4 linked regions of the Arabidopsis thaliana genome follow. The protein of the gene in region 1 interacts with the protein of each later gene in a pairwise test. Each region holds a gene or a part of one and is shown in the gene's direction. Other genes may lie near its edges. The genes, in order: LRL2, TIP, AT1G49830 and AT3G46600.

Region 1 (4,934 bases):
ATTTTTGAGGGAGTTCCTCAAATTTATTGGGTTTTGTCAGGATTGAGTCTACAATGGTTGTGCACCATATGGTTTATTTTCCTGCCTTCCTATTGTAAACGTATTGTTTTATATAAACAATAGAAAAAACTACTGATAATATGAAATAAAACTAATGTATCAGTATACTAGATGGGACCAATAGTTTATTTAACATAGTAGCATTTTTGTCTTTACTATCTGTTTATTTTTTCTATATGGAATTTAAATTATCATTCGTAACTTATTTTACACCCCCTTAGTTAATTATTTTGGTATACATTATGATTATTAAGTAAAAACAAAAATAATTATTGCATTCTCTTGATAATACTAATACATGAGATGATAGATCTCTCTTTCTGTTGTGTAGTACATCAATGCTTACCAACATTTGTAATTAATAAATGGGAAGTGTATTAAAGCCGATCTCTACCTCTTGTGAGTTTGTGCAAAACTCAGAATGTCCCATGTGCTTAATCATGCATATTGCATAATAATGTTCTTTACTTATCTTTGTCAATTTAATATTAATCTTAATCAAATACTATCAAACAGCTGAAAAACTGTATACGATGGTAAAAAAGAATTTTTAAGGTAAATGATGAATTTATTAGACCAAAAAATATTTAACAAGTATAAAAAATACATGGTAACATGACATGATGATGATGACGATGTTCTGTTATGTTATGTTCTCGTTTGAGAGGATCCTCTTTCCCAAATGTTAATCAGATCGGTTAAAACAACAATTTCATCGATCGGTATCATATTAATCAGAAAACAAAACAAGAATAATCTATAAAAAGTGATCTTATTCTTATCGAACACGAGTATCGTCTAAAGGGATAGCATGTTTGTAATCTTGGGGACAAATTGTAAACAGTAATATATGAAGAGAACATTATCATGAACCGTTGATGAATGAATGAATGTACCCAAATGAATAGAGTATAATTGTATGCATTTATACTGCATGTCTAAATATTATATGTCTAAAATAGTTGTCACAAGAAAAAGTGTTGGCTCTGGTGTTATCTTGTAGACTATTGCATTTTTGGACTAGCAAATATTTATCTCGTGGTACGTAGTTGCCGGGACAAGTTTAAAACTCCGACTGATTTTAATAAAAAAGATCAACAATAGAGATTTGTATTTTATTTTATTTTTGTAGTTGGCATCCTTAACATAAATCCAAAGAATTTTATTCAGCATTCAAATAAACCAATTTTAATGTTACCGAATGAAAATCTTATACAATTATCTTAAACATGAGTTTTCAAAAATGATTAATAGAAAAACCTATGTTATATATATAGAAATTTAATAATATACGGTATTAGAACCACATTCTGTCTTAAATAAAAAAAAAAAGATAATTAAACATACGTAAATCATTTGAGTGAAGTTAGTACAACCGAATTTTTTTTTTTTTTTTTTTTTTTTAGTACAACCGAATTTTAAGTTAGTTTTATTACTTTAAGCCTGTCATTCGATCGACTATGATATTTTTAGAAATATATGTTTCACTTACTTTTTGTAGTTACTACAAAATTGTGAAAAGTATATTATCAACAAAGGATTATAAAATTGAAGAAATCATGACTTCAGTGATCGAATTCTTTTAGTGATTAAAAAAATCAAGAAATTATGAAAATAACACGAAATAATTAATTTGCAAGGATGATAAAAAAAATGGTAAATTTGGTAAACGTATTTAACATGTCAAAGTCAAACCCTTCAAATCTCAAATATTACAATCTCCATCCCTCTTTTAAACACCATAAAGCCTTAAACCTCAAAAGACATTTCAACAACATTCATTTTCATTCTCACTCCCCACCAAAAAAAAAAAAAACAGAAGCCATGAACTCCTCGTCTCTTCTAACTCCTTCATCATCTCCTTCTCCACATCTTCAATCTCCTGCAACATTCGACCACGATGATTTCCTCCACCACATCTTCTCCTCCACTCCTTGGCCCTCATCCGTTCTCGACGACACTCCTCCACCAACTTCCGATTGTGCCCCCGTCACTGGATTCCACCACCACGACGCCGATTCAAGAAACCAGATCACTATGATTCCTTTGTCACATAACCATCCTAATGACGCTCTCTTCAATGGCTTCTCCACCGGATCTCTCCCTTTCCACCTCCCTCAAGTATAACTGATAATCCACTTTTTCTCTCTCATTTTGCAAATTACTACAAAAGAGAAAACATTCATTACATGTTCTTTTGTTAAGTCTTAATTTAATGTTTTCTGATATATATTTTAGGGATCGGGAGGTCAAACGCAAACGCAGTCGCAGGCGACGGCGTCAGCCACCACCGGTGGTGCAACGGCGCAACCTCAGACAAAGCCTAAAGTCCGAGCTAGGAGAGGTCAAGCCACTGATCCTCACAGTATCGCCGAACGGGTTCGATTTTTTTATTTAACTTTTCCTCATTATTCGCTTTTCAGTTACCGAGAAAAACGTATAAAGTTATTTAGATGATTAAGGTGATTATTGAAATATTTTGAAATTATGGAACAGTTACGGAGAGAGAGGATAGCGGAAAGAATGAAATCTCTTCAAGAACTTGTCCCTAATGGTAACAAGGTAAATTTTAATTATCTTCATTAGTCTAAATTTCGATCATCAAAGTTGATATAATTAAAAGAGTAGATTCAAATAATCCAATTTGTATTTTACATTTCTTTAATAGTATATATCTCAAAATGAATAATGTGTTAAGTATATGAGTTACACTGATGTATTTTAGTCTTGGACCACAAATTGCTACTAGTTTAGTAGGTTATCTAGAGATTTGGACTTTTATGCAGTCAAATGATTAAACACTGATTAGCTAATTAATTCTAAAATTTAATTGATAATAATACTTAATAAACAGATGCAGAATTGCTAACAAGGTTTTTTTTATTGTTAAAAATAATAATTAACAGACAGACAAAGCATCAATGCTCGATGAGATTATCGATTATGTCAAGTTCTTACAGCTCCAAGTCAAGGTGAATCTCTCTCTCTCTCTCTCTCGAATTATTTTATAAGATATGAGAATTTTAAATTTGTTTTTGTTATAAGAGTGGAAGCTTCTTTACCTTTGAGTTGACATTAGAATAAGAAATCGAATATGGGCCTCTGCAACTAAAATTCCATATGCTCCCTTTCCCTTTTATCTTGTAAATTATTTATCTTTTGCGTTTGTTAAAACATAGTGTTAGTGTATATCTACCTCTTCTTTTGCTTAATTATAATATTTGGCAAATTTATGTATGCAGGTACTAAGCATGAGTAGACTGGGCGGTGCTGCTTCTGCTTCTTCTCAAATCTCTGAGGTAATAATTTCAATTCCTTCTCTCTTAAAAGGGATGATAGGATGACGTGATCACTATATAGAATGAGATTTTATTTTTTAAACTAATTAAAAAGAGATGTAAATTATTGAAAAGGTTTTAGTTAGGGAATAATACTAATTAAAAAGTAGTTTTGTTTTCGACTTTCTAAAAACAAATGAAAAAGTTTTCCAAAAAATAGTAAAAAAAACAAAACAAGGACAGGGCACGCGTGCCTACTTTCTCTCCAACAAATACCAAAACCTCCCATTTCAACATCATCATAGCTTTAGGGTTTTGCTTTTCTTGTTTTCTTTTTAATTTTATTGAACATTTTCAGGATGCCGGTGGATCCCACGAAAACACCTCCTCCTCCGGCGAGGCGAAGATGACGGAGCACCAAGTTGCAAAGCTAATGGAAGAGGACATGGGATCAGCCATGCAATATCTACAAGGCAAAGGTCTTTGCCTCATGCCCATCTCGTTAGCCACCACCATCTCCACCGCCACGTGTCCTTCTCGTAGCCCCTTCGTTAAAGATACCGGCGTTCCTTTGTCTCCTAACCTATCCACTACAATAGTTGCTAACGGTAATGGCTCATCGTTGGTCACCGTTAAAGACGCTCCCTCCGTTTCCAAGCCGTGATAACGGCCATTTGTCCATTTCATTTTCCCTTTTTTGGGTGGGAAAGAGAGAAAAAAGTTTAGAAGACAAAGACAAGTGGGATAGGTGGTTTTGGTCAAAGTTTAGAAAGAATAAGGTCGTGTTTTCGGATACGACACCGTATTTGCGTACACTTTGGTTTTCTGTCTTTACCTACTACAAACCACCCATAAGCACACTCATGTTATCATGTTTTTTTTTTTTTGGTTTATAAAGTTATATCCTTAAATTTTCTATCACAGAACCGGTCTGGTCTAACAAATGTCGTCAATGATGATCATTTAGGCCAAAGAGTTTGTTTAAAACTCGTTATGCTTAAGTTTCTAAATCTACACAACACAGGAATGTAACACTTAAGCAGGCTTAATTTCACCGTTTTATATACTCACATACTGAAGAAATTTATTGTCAATCGCCAATGTGGTCAGCGGTAAGATCTCATATAAATCTTCCTAGTAGTGTTCAAGAAAATCACTATATATGCAGCAGGGGCTTAGAGTAGCATCTAACGTTTAGAACACCTAGTCAGGATCATTTTAGGTGGTTAAGAGTTTTGTAGAGTGAATTTGTATGGTATACCTCTACTATGACCTACTACTATAAACGAAATAACATGATCTTAATTTATCTTATAAGCACAAAAATAAACAGCAAGGACCGAGAAAACATATAAGATATAAACCATTTCCATATATACCAACGACCTCAAACGTTTACATGTTCAAACCGTCAGAATGTTTTCTACCACGATCGAAAAAAAATAGTCTGAATTGAAACAGAGGAAAATATAATATATCATTTCGTTGTAGAGTCTCTTCTTTTTATTGCTTTGGCATGAGGTTTGAGTTTTGACTTCAAGTACAAAAAATGAATTTATTTTGGGCCAAAAGCATGTGGGAAATAAATTACGGCGA
Region 2 (4,913 bases), on another chromosome or scaffold:
CGGAAAATAAAATATTTCCAGAAACTGAACTTTGAGATAGAAAGTAAACGTCTTTAGTAACTAAGTGATTGGTTGGCATGTCACCGTAAATTATTCGCTGTAAAATTTTGACCGTCAGCGTGTAAAATGCAACCGTGTATTTTATTGTTATACGTGTAGATATTAGGGATATAAAGTCTTAGAAGTAAATTTATTAGTCGTATCTTAAAATATGATTAGTAAATATTTTATAAAATATTATAGTTAACCAAACTATATAATAAACAACAACACAAATTTTGTGATGCACATATAGGTTAAATGGAATCTATATAAACATGTAAAATAGTTTATATGTTAGTCGGATAATAACTACATATTAGTTGAAAAGAATATATACATATAAATTTTTTGTTCAAATGTTGTTCAAAATTTATACATAAGTATACATTAACAAACAAAACTATACATGGTATTTATACTATTAGTATATATCCATCTAGTGCCTAGTGTACATTATATAAGCAACACATAAAAAATGATCATGAGGAAATAAAATTAAAATAAAAGAGAGATTAAATTAAAAATATAACTTATAGAACTTATAACAACATATGGTTTTAGGTTGTAGAAATATAAGATTTACGGTCACAAGATTTTTTTTTTTTCTAAAACTAATTCACAACAATTTGGTCTTCACAAAAACAATTATGGTTGTAAAAGATTACATTCCAACTAATCAAACACTATAAGAGACTATCCTCAAACTAGAAACGCAGAGGTCTAAACCCAAAAACAAAACAAAAAGCAATGACTTAGATAAACTTTGTTGGATATGGGCTTCGCCCCATTTAACATTCGGAGGCCCAAACAAAGAGTCATTGAAAACCTCAGTTAAGAATGATGAAGACCAGCCCCCCTGAGAAAGCCGCAGCCCATTGCGAGATGAGGCCCATTTTCTGGAAAGGATCAGCCGCCATAGAAGTTTCATATCGCTCAGAAAATGGTACTGTGTACTTTCATTGAAGTACTATAAATATTGACAGAGGAATGCCAGAAAAGGACACCTGAAGTCGGACGAGAATAGTACAAGAACATTCTCATTCGGATTCAAAGACATAAGCTCGACAATTGACTTGTGTAGTTTTATTCTTGTTGTATCTCTTAAAACGAGGCTTGGCTGTAAACATATCTTGTAAACGGCCGAACGTTAAGTTTAGATAAATAAGATCTTCCTTTTCGCTCGCTACTTTCTTCTCTGTTTTTGAGGTTTAGTTTTGAGTACCAACGGACTTCGATATCAAACGTTTTAAAGTTTAAACCTATTTGATTTACATTATTTGGTTTAAATAAATTGATTCAGACTTCACACGACCAAGAAAAAAAAATGGTTGAATTGGGTTCTCATCTATTGGGCTTTAACAACAAACACTATTAGTAAGATGGGCTGGCCAGTTGTGTAAACTGTTTCATATTGGTAAATCAATATGATACCAATTAAGTTTATTTAATTCTTCTTTAACTTCCGTACAACTATCACGAAGCTTCCTTTATAGCATCAACGTGTCAATATATGATTCGCTAGGTGACATCTCTCGTTCAGACATCCTCACCTTTTGACTCATATAACCCCTATTTCCGTAACTATTTTACTGCAATACTTCAGGGGTAAAATAGGTATTTACATTCTGTTTTGCCTTTTACGCGTAACGAACGTGGTTTTGTGTTTTATGACTTTCTGGGAAACAGTGGTACGCCTATCCACGCGCCACTTTTTCATCTCTTTGTCTTTGATATCTCTCTTGTCTGACCAAATCGTGTCACATCTCCTTCTTCTCCACTTTACCAAATCGTGTCAAATTTTAGGGTTTTTTCTTTTCGTACTTCATCAAATTCTGGAATCTGGTTTTTTCTTAGTTTTCTTCTATATACCTTTGAATCGCATCTTTGATCCAAATTCATTTTAGATATCACCTTGAAGTCGAATTTGTGATTTTTTCTTTTCCTCTCGAATTCTCAAAGTCTCACGCAACTATGAAAGAAGACATGGAAGTACTATCGCTCGCTTCACTACCGGTTGGGTTCAGATTTAGTCCAACGGACGAAGAGTTAGTCCGGTACTATCTCCGGCTCAAGATCAACGGTCACGATAACGACGTTAGAGTAATTCGTGAGATCGATATCTGCAAATGGGAGCCTTGGGATTTGCCTGGTAATTCCTTTCTTCATCAAATCAATTCGTTGATTCATCTTTAGCTCTTTAGTCTCGGTTTAGCAATTCCCAGGCTTCAATTCCGGTTTATGCATGTTTGAATTTGGAACAATATGATCAATAACTTCTTAGCTTAGGTAGTGGACTTAGTGAATTTGAGTAAAGATTTATACTTTAGTATTTGTGGTGTAGATTTTTCTGTGGTGAAGACAACAGACTCAGAGTGGCTCTTCTTTTGTCCTTTGGACCGGAAATATCCGAGTGGAAGTCGAATGAATAGAGCTACTGTGGCTGGATACTGGAAGGCGACGGGAAAAGACCGTAAGATCAAATCAGGAAAGACTAAGATTATAGGTGTTAAGAGGACTCTAGTGTTTTATACAGGTCGTGCTCCTAAAGGGACACGAACTTGTTGGATTATGCATGAGTATCGTGCTACTGAGAAGGATCTTGATGGAACAAAGTCTGGCCAGGTAAAAACCAACTTGGCAAATGATGGCATTAACTTGTGTGTGTAGGTCTTTTGTGTTTCTGATTGTGTTTGTTTGATTGTTTTTGGTTGCAGAATCCGTTTGTTGTTTGTAAGTTGTTTAAGAAGCAAGATATTGTGAACGGAGCTGCTGAACCAGAAGAGTCAAAGTCATGTGAAGTTGAACCAGCGGTATCGTCTCCAACTGTTGTGGACGAGGTTGAAATGTCTGAGGTATCTCCTGTTTTCCCTAAAACAGAAGAGACTAATCCTTGTGACGTCGCAGAGTCTTCTCTTGTAATCCCCAGCGAATGTCGTAGTGGATACTCTGTCCCTGAGGTTACAACCACCGGGGTAAGGATGAACAAAATACATTCTTTTCATTACAGGAGGCGGTACAACCGCTTTGTAAACTTACAAACTTCATTTTACTCAACAGCTTGACGATATCGATTGGCTCTCGTTTATGGAGTTTGATTCCCCGAAGCTGTTCTCTCCGTTGCACTCTCAGGTGCAATCTGAGCTCGGTTCCTCTTTCAATGGCTTACAATCTGAGTCTAGTGAATTGTTCAAAAACCACAATGAGGATTACATTCAGACTCAGTACGGTACAAATGATGCGGATGAATATATGTCCAAGTTCTTGGATTCTTTTCTTGACATTCCCTATGAGCCAGAACAGATCCCATATGAGCCACAGAATCTTAGCTCATGCAACAAGATCAATGATGAATCTAAGAGAGGAATTAAGATTAGAGCTCGACGAGCACAAGCCCCGGGTTGTGCTGAGCAGTTTGTAATGCAGGGCGATGCCTCAAGAAGGCTGCGTCTTCAGGTTAACCTTAACAGCCACAAGTCAGAAACTGACAGTACACAACTTCAATTTATCAAGAAAGAGGTGAGAAGAAGTTTGTTTTCATACCTTCTCATGTATTACAATTTATGATCCTTATATTTATGCGATAAAATGTATATAGGTTAAGGACACAACAACGGAAACTATGACGAAAGGATGTGGAAATTTCACAAGATCAAAGAGCAGGACTAGTTTCATATTCAAGAAAATTGCAGCCATGGGATGTTCATACAGAGGGCTTTTCAGAGTCGGTGTGGTAGCGGTTGTGTGTGTGATGTCGGTCTGCAGTCTAGTCGCATAAATCCGCTGAATGTGATGTTTGTTCCGATCAATTCATATAGTAAGAATAAAGAAAGTGGTTTTTACGGGTGGAGAGAGCGCGGATTTGTGTGTATAACAGGGGTTTTGGCCTGGTTCTGCATCTGTTGTTATTGTTGTTGTTTTTGTCGGCTTAAGCTTAACCATGGTCGGTTTAGGAGTGTAGTAGACTTGTAGTTAACATGTACGACGACTCATAATATTCAGATGGTAATGTTTGGAAATTTTTTTATTCCTGACCACATGTGTCTTGAGATTGCGTTTTTGACATTTTTAGTAGCCTTGTACAATCAGAAACAAACTACGAGTTCGAATGGTAGCACCGTAATGAAAACGGTGTCAAACATGTTAGTACGAACCGACCGGGTAGAGATATTTATTAGAGGTGTGTTTATTTCGTATATCATTAAACATGTTTAGTATGATAGGACGGTTTGATTGAGGGTATGGACTGTTAAACATGTCATTTGGGTATTTTATGGCATTAAGTATGCCCAGTAATATATTACAAAATTTTTGGACAAAAGAATGCATATTTGAATAGTTCAAATAATATGATCACCTCTCTTTTCTCTCCTTCATATCTTTTAGAGAGAGGAACTGTTGAATTCTGCCGACCGGATTATTCTGGTAAACTGCCGTCCCAAGTTTTGGGCTTTTGCCCGACATCTTTTTGGCTTTGTTAGCAAAGATGGCCGGTCCTCTTCTGGCAAATCCGGCTTCTACAAGAATAATTGTATCCTTACTACTTAATTGTATGGACCAAGAATAAAATTTCAAAATTTAGTTGTTTTCTTGATATCTGTAAAAAAAATTAAACAACACTTACAATAAGACATAGGAAGCAGTTTGTATCAATATTACTGTCGTGTTGCTTTGGAATAAAACCCAAAATACGTAAGTACCAAAACAATTATTAGACTTTTTAAATGTGTTAGCTGATATAAGTAGTATATATCAATGTTGTATCATACTTTGAATAAAACTCAAAATTATGTGTGAGTAAGAAAAGAAAATACAATTCTTTCCAATATATAAAAACATCGTAAATGCATAAAATATGTGCATTCGAATCTTAA
Region 3 (3,989 bases), on another chromosome or scaffold:
GGATCAAAGTAAATAATTGTGACTAGAACTCGAAATATTAAGCATGAAAATTTTTGAGATCTCTAACCATAAGAAAGCATCAATTGAAATAAGCAATGTGAAGAACTTACCAGGTTAAGGAAATTATGAGCAAGGCATCTTACGGAGGGACAATTCCTATACACAAAGCTATTAGGATTCATGTACTCATCAATGTCTCTGACTCAAAAAATATTTCGACGTTACCGTGACGGTTCTATTTACAAAACTCTGATTCCCTGTTAGGTGGTCCCTCTTCAAAGCTAAGAGAATGTGTAAACACACAACACAAACACAAGTTTCTTTTGGCAAATCAAGTCTAATTCCTTCTCATAACTTGGCAGTCTTTAAGTACACAAAGTAAAGCAAAGGGGATCGACAACTAATCCTAAAAACAAAGAACATTATTAACAAAGTGGGAATATGGAAACGTGGAGCTTGATCTCCTAAATCTAAGTAACGCACTTATCAATTCTTCTATTCTTTTTGACCATTTCTTCTGTGGTTCAATCATGGTTAAGCACTTATCATTCACCAAAAACATCTGCTTCATATATCCACGTTACCTGCAATGATAAAATGGGTTTGATTCCTTGATAACTCCAAAAAGATGCAAAGAAGATAATGATTCTGAATTTTTGATACAACACTGGTACAAAGCAACTTCAACTGAGATAAGAGACCCCGAAAAGTGACAAACCCCATCTCCGATTTGGTTCACAGTCCTCTCCGATTAAGTTCACCAAACTAGTCGACGTTGAGCACCGTCGGTTGAGATGATGAGCACGATGGATAAGAGACAAATTCCGTCGATAATCTCTTCCAATTTGATGATATAAACGCGTGATGATGATGATCACCAATCGCTCAATCGCCACCGGAGTTAACAAGAGAAGAGAAGAGAGGAAAATCGATTTGAAAAACAAAACACGGCAAAAGAAAAAAAAAAGTTTTGTCAAAAAAACACAACCAATGATTAGTTGCCACGTATGCGCACCTTAACAACTGAAAAAACTCTAAAATTAGGTGCGATCCCAAGTTTAAATCACATTTTAGATTTATTTTTTTCCAAAATTACTTAAGGATTTATGTTAAAAACTGTTAAGGATCTCCCAATGGACTTGCTCTTAATGTAAAGATTGATACGAAAACAGGCCATACACACTGATTTGGTTCAGCCTGAAGCAGTCAAAGTTATGGATGGTTATTTACTTATTTTGGTTAATTTACCATAGCAATGAAACAGACACAGTGACGACTTGTATCCTAAGCCTTTTAAGTGTCCAAAAATGAAACTAAACTTGTGGACTACTCAACTCTGTCAACCCTCCTAAATTTAGCGTGGTCTTGCAGCTGTACGTACCTCACTCTTCTTCGCGCATGTCAAACATCTTTGTCTTTTTTATTTTTGTAAAAATAATTTTTCAGTTTTCACACTTTTTTATTATTATTTTAAATGAAAAAAATAGTATGTTTTTTAATTCAAAATGTGAGAGTTTTACATCAATGTGAGTTTCTCGAGCTTTTCTATTGGGATTTTAATATCTTTATCCGTAAACATTTTGTGTTTGATTAGTTTGTTTTACAAAATTCATCATTTCGAGTAAATAGAAACCAACAGTTTTCTTGGGCCAAGTTGCCTTACCATTTTTCTGATTTCTCCTTTACCAACTTATCCCATTGATGTAATATCATAGTTAACTATTGTTGCTACTTGCTATAACTGAAATTATGCAATTTTTCATCTTCTTTTTTTACTATTAAAATACATTTATTGATACTATTCTTTTCTGGTTTCTCACCTTTTCACTTGTTTTCTTCTTTCTCTGTCAATTCCACAAACAAGCCTAAGCAAGAAAAAGAAAAAAAAACTCTACGATGAGAGGCACAACGGACGAAGAAGACGGTGTCATGAACTTCTCTGATGTTCTTATGATGTCTGATGATGTCCTTAGCTCCGGTGAAGTAGAAGAAGACAGCTTTGGTTTCAGATTCACCGGAAACGATGCTCCTCAAATGCTCTGTTTCGGCGGAGGAAACCAAAACGACACCGATCTGCTCTTCTCACAACCCTCTTTCTCTCCCGCTTCCCCTCTCTCTTCACGCAATAACGCCTGTGTGGTCAATGATCAATCTTTTAGATCCAATGTAAGTTATATATATGTAAAACATTCCTACAGTTAATATTATTTGAAATTTTAGCCAAGCTTTAAGGTCATTAAGTAAAGTGACAAGATCATTAAAAAGTATATGCATCAGTGCATGCAACAAGTCAAACACAAGATCATTATAATGTATAATTTTTATTTTGTTTAATGTTTGTCTCTTTGTTTTGAAGAAGAAAACCGGGTCGGCTGATGGGCACGACCGGGTTTGCGATCCAAAACCCGGTAAGAGATGCAAGCGAGATCAGAAGAAGTCATCGCTTGGAAATGCTAAGGTTTGGCTTTAAAAGTGTGTATATTTATGTATACTTATCTAATGGATCAGCTATTTGGGTGAATAATAGTAATTAACAAATGCTATTCATAAAAATAGGTCAAGAAAGAAAAGGTTGGTGAAAAAATCACAACATTGCAGCACTTGGTTTCTCCATATGGCAAGGTGGATCAATATACTAAAACAAGTTACCTTCTCTCTTTGTTTTTGGTTCATATATCTCTTATCAACATAATACTGAACTAAAATCAAAACCCTGAATCTAGGTGATTAAATTTTGATGTAAACTTGAAACTTTTACTATAGTTACGTCATTTGGTATTAGCTTGAAACCTTTACTTGTAGAGAGATATTCACGGACTATATTTTACTGTTTTGGAGGTACATTATGTGTTTTGGTAATTAAAATTAGTTTACTTTCTACATTTTAACTAAGAAAAATGTAATTTGGAAAATTTGAATAGACAGATGCAGCATCAGTGTTGCATGAAACAATGGGTTACATAAAATTCTTACAAGACCAAGTTCAAGTTCTTTCAACCCCTTACTTCAAACATAACCCTCTTGTAAGTCATCCATCATCCTTTTGTATTATCTTATTTCATTTTTTTGTTACACTTTTTTCTTGGTATCCTCTTTTTTTGTTACACTCTATGTCTTTATCAATAAAACCGGAAGATATTTATTTTTCCATGATTCGAAACGACTGTTTTAAGACTTAAAAGATTACTATTTTGACGGTGTTGTGACTGATGAATAGTTGATGTGTCGTCAGGACGACGAAGACACCGGAGAAGTAAACCCGACGATGAAAGTGAAAGAGTTGAGAAGCAATGGTTTATGTCTTGTTCCACTAGCTTGGACCGTACACGTGGCGAATACTAACGGTGCTGATTTATGGTCCTCTGCCATCTTGTCACCACTCACCAGTCACACCAACAGTGAACCAGTAGAGATTGTGGAAGTCAAATCTCATAAAGATAAGTAGATAATCTTCAAAAGTGAAAATATTTCTAAACTTTTATTATTATTATTGTAACAAAATGCATTTGAATACCATCATCACCACCACAAACCACTAAATTACAAATCCATGTGATAAGCAGCATTGTGATACTTTTCTTGCCAATTAACTCCCAAGATCAAAACAAGACTTTCAAGAACTTCAGCAGAAGAACATTATAAATTGTCTTAGCTTTGTTGTTGAATTGCTGAAACAACTTCACCGATACTCTTAAACTTTCTCCTTTCCTTGAGAAGCATCTTCGCAAACTCGAGTGCACTTCTCTCGCAAATAGCTCTTCGCTTATCTTCTTCGATTGATTCAAAGTCCTCAACATGTGCCACTCCCACAATTCTCCTGCCATATCATCAAACCAACACTGTCAACAACGTTTCTGAGTTTATATGATCGACAAAGAAATCTCATGGACTAAGATTCTCTCACCTAATCATCTTTGCAGCGCCGAATCCGAGTGAGTCATGCAACAAATTCCTCATGTAGTTTTCTTGAACAAACTTCAAAACCTCGG
Region 4 (4,264 bases), on another chromosome or scaffold:
ATATATATACCTCATCCAAACTCTAGGAGTGCTGGAGAATTCAATTGTTGGATAAATTGTTACTCAAGCTGGTCTATGTTTGGTCAGTTTATGGTTCACATGTGTCCTATATTAGGAAAGAATACACAGAAGCTTGTGCTTGTGAGTGGTATGTGTGCTATGGTATTTACCTTAAATACGGGTCGTTCAGAGTAATAAGCTGGTCTCAAAGCCTCTTTTAAAGGCTATAGCCACAAACAAAGGCACAAAATCCTGGATCTCTAACCAGTAAAGAAGTCGATGTTGAACTAAAGTTCGCAAATATTTGCAGATAGCATTGAGTAGGCAAGCTCTTCCCACTTTTTTTTTTTTTTTTTTCACTGAACTGTTGCCTTTCATTGAATATTGGAGTTTGTGAAAAAATTTAAAGCAATTAGCAATAAAATCAAAAGGATATTGAAGTTTACATTTGGACCTGGACGAGATAATAGAGGATAACGTTCAATTTATTAGAAGTTATGATGACTGATATATTTACCGATTTAAAACTAATATATTTAGCAACTTGACGCAGCAAGAAAATTATGATTCTTAACTAATATACACCATATTATATATATTTAGAAGATTTAATTAATATTTAAAATTATGCTTTTTATTTGATTTTGTTTTAAATCGTCATATAATACATAAAATAAAATCAAAAAACAATTTTTTTTTATACATATATTGTGATTTTTAATTTTAAACACGGACACGTATTACCCAATTGACAAAATAATGTGTATGTTTAATGTTCCACATTGACTAAAATATTTAGACAATGATTCAGAATCATATCATATAATGAATATTTACAATAATAAAATAACTGGGTTTTTGTTGGAATGGGTTTTGCGGAACGGATTTTTGAATCTACATTAATAACAAATTAAAATATCATTAATCTGCCGTTTCAATACATATTAAATCTTTTTTTTAACACCACTAATATTATACATATCAAATCAGTCTGATTTAAAAAAATATATATAAAACCAAAATGTCTCATGGTATAATGTTACTATATAAAAATTGTAAATTATAAAATATTAATGTCTTAGAGAATTGTATAATTTTCAAACTTTTATATATAATAAATAATCATTAAATTTTAAAAATCACTACTTAAAAAAAAAAAAAAAATCAAGGGACAGGTTATACAATTAAGATTTACATCTTGTTTTTTTTTTGGAATTTTGGTGATGTGGTAACAGACTACTAAATAGTTTACGCGTATTATATGCAAAATAAATTATCAAACAAATATATTGTAGTAAATTATAAAATTTACTATATTATTATTTAAAAACTGAAATTTGCTTGTGTCTTGTAGAAAAAAAAACTGAACCAAAACAAACTTAATTTACTTCGAAGTTTTATATTTCGTTATACAAAAAGAAAAAGTCTAAATTTCTAAATACATTTAGAAAATATATTCAAGGTAATAACTAATAAGTCAAATATTTGACCAGACAAGTGACCAAAAGGAAGACAACAACAAGAAAACAAATAGCTTTTTAGCCATTTGGACCCACGACAGTAGATAAAGTCTTGGACATATTATTACTAACCTTTTGTGGCGGCTTAGTGTTTATCTTCAACCCCACACATTCTCTGTTTCCTCGAAACTTCATTTTTCTTCTTTGCCAAGACAAAGATTAAATAAGACAAATATCAACCCTATCCTTTGTTTATATCAACAACATCTCGCAACTTGTGTTCACATGAAACTTCTCACTACTCTCTTTCATTTCCTCTTTTCGTTGACTTACTAAAGTACTCTTGTTTCAATCTTCATTCTAGAGAGATTCTGTTTCATGGATGCTATTTTGCCAGTACCCGTTGATGGGTTCAGATTCGACACCGGTTCTGGATCTTGTTGCAAACCGAGGAACAATCTTGAATCTGGGACGACCAATCGTTTCACTTGTTTCAACGAATCTGAATCTCAGAGCAACCCTTCTCCGACCGAGTCTAAGGTATGTTCAGATTACCTTCCTGTCTTTAAGTACATCAATGACATGTTGATGGAAGAAGATCTTGAAGGTCAGTCTTGTATGTTGGAAGACAGTTTGGCTTTACAAGCCGCAGAGAGATCTTTCTTCGAAGTGCTTCAAGATCAAACTCCAATCTCGGGTGATCTAGAGGATGGTTCTCTTGGAAACTTCAGTTCTATAACGAGTTTGCATCAACCTGAAGTTTCAGAGGAGTCAACCAGAAGGTATCGACATAGGGATGATGATGAAGATGATGATCTTGAGAGTGGAAGGAAATCGAAGCTCCCTGCGATTTCTACGGTGGATGAGTTAGCAGAGAAGTTTGAGGAAGTGTTGTTGGTATGTCAAAAGAATGATCAGGGAGAAGCAACAGAGAAGAAAACAAGACACGTAAAAGGCTCATCGAATCGATACAAGCAGCAAAAGTCAGATCAGCCAGTAGATATGAGGAATCTTTTGATGCAATGCGCGCAAGCTGTGGCGAGTTTTGACCAGAGAAGAGCTTTTGAGAAACTGAAGGAGATAAGAGAACACTCTTCTCGCCACGGTGATGCGACTCAAAGACTTGGTTATCACTTTGCTGAGGCGCTTGAAGCTCGTATTACAGGAACCATGACTACACCAATATCTGCTACTTCTAGCAGAACATCAATGGTGGACATTTTGAAGGCGTACAAGGGATTTGTTCAGGCTTGCCCCACCTTAATAATGTGTTATTTCACTGCAAACAGAACAATCAATGAGCTTGCTTCCAAAGCAACCACACTTCACATCATTGATTTTGGGATTCTCTATGGATTTCAATGGCCTTGTCTGATACAAGCTTTGTCAAAACGTGACATCGGACCACCACTGCTCCGTGTGACTGGTATCGAGCTTCCTCAGTCAGGTTTCCGTCCATCAGAGCGGGTAGAAGAGACCGGGCGAAGACTAAAGAGGTTCTGTGACAAGTTCAATGTCCCGTTTGAGTACAGTTTCATAGCCAAGAATTGGGAGAACATAACTCTTGATGATCTGGTGATCAATAGTGGCGAGACAACAGTTGTCAACTGCATCCTCCGGCTACAATATACACCTGATGAAACCGTGTCCCTCAACTCACCGAGAGACACGGCTCTGAAACTATTCAGAGACATCAACCCTGACCTCTTTGTGTTTGCAGAGATTAACGGGACTTACAATTCACCCTTCTTCCTAACAAGGTTCAGAGAAGCTCTCTTCCATTGCTCGTCACTCTTTGACATGTATGAGACCACATTATCAGAAGACGACAATTGCAGGACACTGGTGGAGAGGGAACTAATCATAAGAGATGCAATGAGTGTGATAGCCTGTGAAGGGTCTGAGCGGTTTGCAAGGCCAGAGACCTACAAGCAATGGCAGGTTAGGATTCTAAGAGCAGGATTTAGACCAGCGAAACTAAGCAAACAGATAGTAAAGGACGGGAAAGAGATAGTGAAAGAACGTTACCACAAAGATTTTGTGATCGACAATGATAACCACTGGATGTTTCAGGGCTGGAAAGGAAGAGTCCTTTATGCTGTTTCTTGCTGGAAACCTGCTAAGAAGTAATAAAACAGTTCTGTAATCATTTGCATAATTTTGCTAGCTTTCCATTTCTTTGTTTTTGGTTTCAAAGTGTTGTAGAAACTGTTTGCTCTCATATATATTGAATGAGTCTCTCTCTTTCTCTCTACTTTCTTGCAAGTACATATGGCAAACCAAGAATTCAAAACTTATTTCAAAAAGATCCATAACTTTGAACTGAACAAACCAGTTTGCATATCAATGTGTCTGATGATAATACAGATGTTGTACGAAGATAAAAATTCACAATATAAACAGAGAGACTAGACAAACTAAAAAGAGTATTAAAGAACAAGAAAGTGATTACTTGGAAACTTTCTTCTTCCCTGTAATGGCAATTTTCTTGCCTTTAAGGGTCCTTGGATGCGCCTTACCCCACGGTAACCTTGTACAATGTGTTTTCGTCAGACTAAGGTCTATTCTTTTTGTCTGGTCGAGGACCCAAAAGATTAAGATCAATGGTGGCTCCATAAGTCTCAGCTGATTTAACAACCGCATCATATGGCTTAGAAGAGAGTTTAAGCCCTTCGTTTTGAGCCTTCACATGTAACTCATAAGCAAGCCTTGGCTTTGCATCATTTGCAAGAGCCTCAATCAACATCTCGTAAGTTATCTCGTTAGGCTCAACATTCTCACTTTTCATTCTATGAAACCACTCA

Evidence for each region.
Region 2: the proteins of LRL2 (region 1) and TIP interact in a two-hybrid assay, tested with the Arabidopsis thaliana proteins (one large-scale study listed by BioGRID).
Region 3: the proteins of LRL2 (region 1) and AT1G49830 interact in a two-hybrid assay, tested with the Arabidopsis thaliana proteins (one large-scale study listed by BioGRID).
Region 4: the proteins of LRL2 (region 1) and AT3G46600 interact in a two-hybrid assay, tested with the Arabidopsis thaliana proteins (one large-scale study listed by BioGRID).

The regions. Positions count from the first base shown.
Region 1 is NC_003075.7:15,078,557-15,083,490, reverse strand, and holds LRL2 (LJRHL1-like 2), read left to right. Parts: upstream 1-1,715; 5' UTR 1,716-1,740; coding exon 1,741-2,181; intron 2,182-2,298; coding exon 2,299-2,439; intron 2,440-2,556; coding exon 2,557-2,622; intron 2,623-2,966; coding exon 2,967-3,032; intron 3,033-3,302; coding exon 3,303-3,359; intron 3,360-3,696; coding exon 3,697-4,002; 3' UTR 4,003-4,373; downstream 4,374-4,934. UniProt on the Arabidopsis thaliana protein: Transcription factor that regulates the development of root hairs. Transcription factor that regulates the development of sperm cells.
Region 2 is NC_003076.8:8,415,824-8,420,736, reverse strand, and holds TIP (TCV-interacting protein), read left to right. Parts: upstream 1-1,660; 5' UTR 1,661-2,013; coding exon 2,014-2,191; intron 2,192-2,383; coding exon 2,384-2,664; intron 2,665-2,756; coding exon 2,757-3,014; intron 3,015-3,099; coding exon 3,100-3,558; intron 3,559-3,637; coding exon 3,638-3,817; 3' UTR 3,818-4,362; downstream 4,363-4,913.
Region 3 is NC_003070.9:18,444,567-18,448,555, reverse strand, and holds AT1G49830 (basic helix-loop-helix (bHLH) DNA-binding superfamily protein), read left to right. Parts: upstream 1-1,783; 5' UTR 1,784-1,896; coding exon 1,897-2,166; intron 2,167-2,356; coding exon 2,357-2,458; intron 2,459-2,556; coding exon 2,557-2,622; intron 2,623-2,921; coding exon 2,922-3,023; intron 3,024-3,205; exon of another isoform or gene 3,206-3,232; coding exon 3,233-3,445; downstream 3,446-3,989. Other genes in the region: MTK (S-methyl-5-thioribose kinase), read right to left, coding at 3,649-3,817, 3,905-3,989.
Region 4 is NC_003074.8:17,156,210-17,160,473, forward strand, and holds AT3G46600 (GRAS family transcription factor), read left to right. Parts: upstream 1-1,714; 5' UTR 1,715-1,838; coding exon 1,839-3,590; 3' UTR 3,591-3,756; downstream 3,757-4,264. Other genes in the region: AT3G46610 (Pentatricopeptide repeat (PPR-like) superfamily protein), read right to left, coding at 4,015-4,264. UniProt on the Arabidopsis thaliana protein: Probable transcription factor involved in plant development.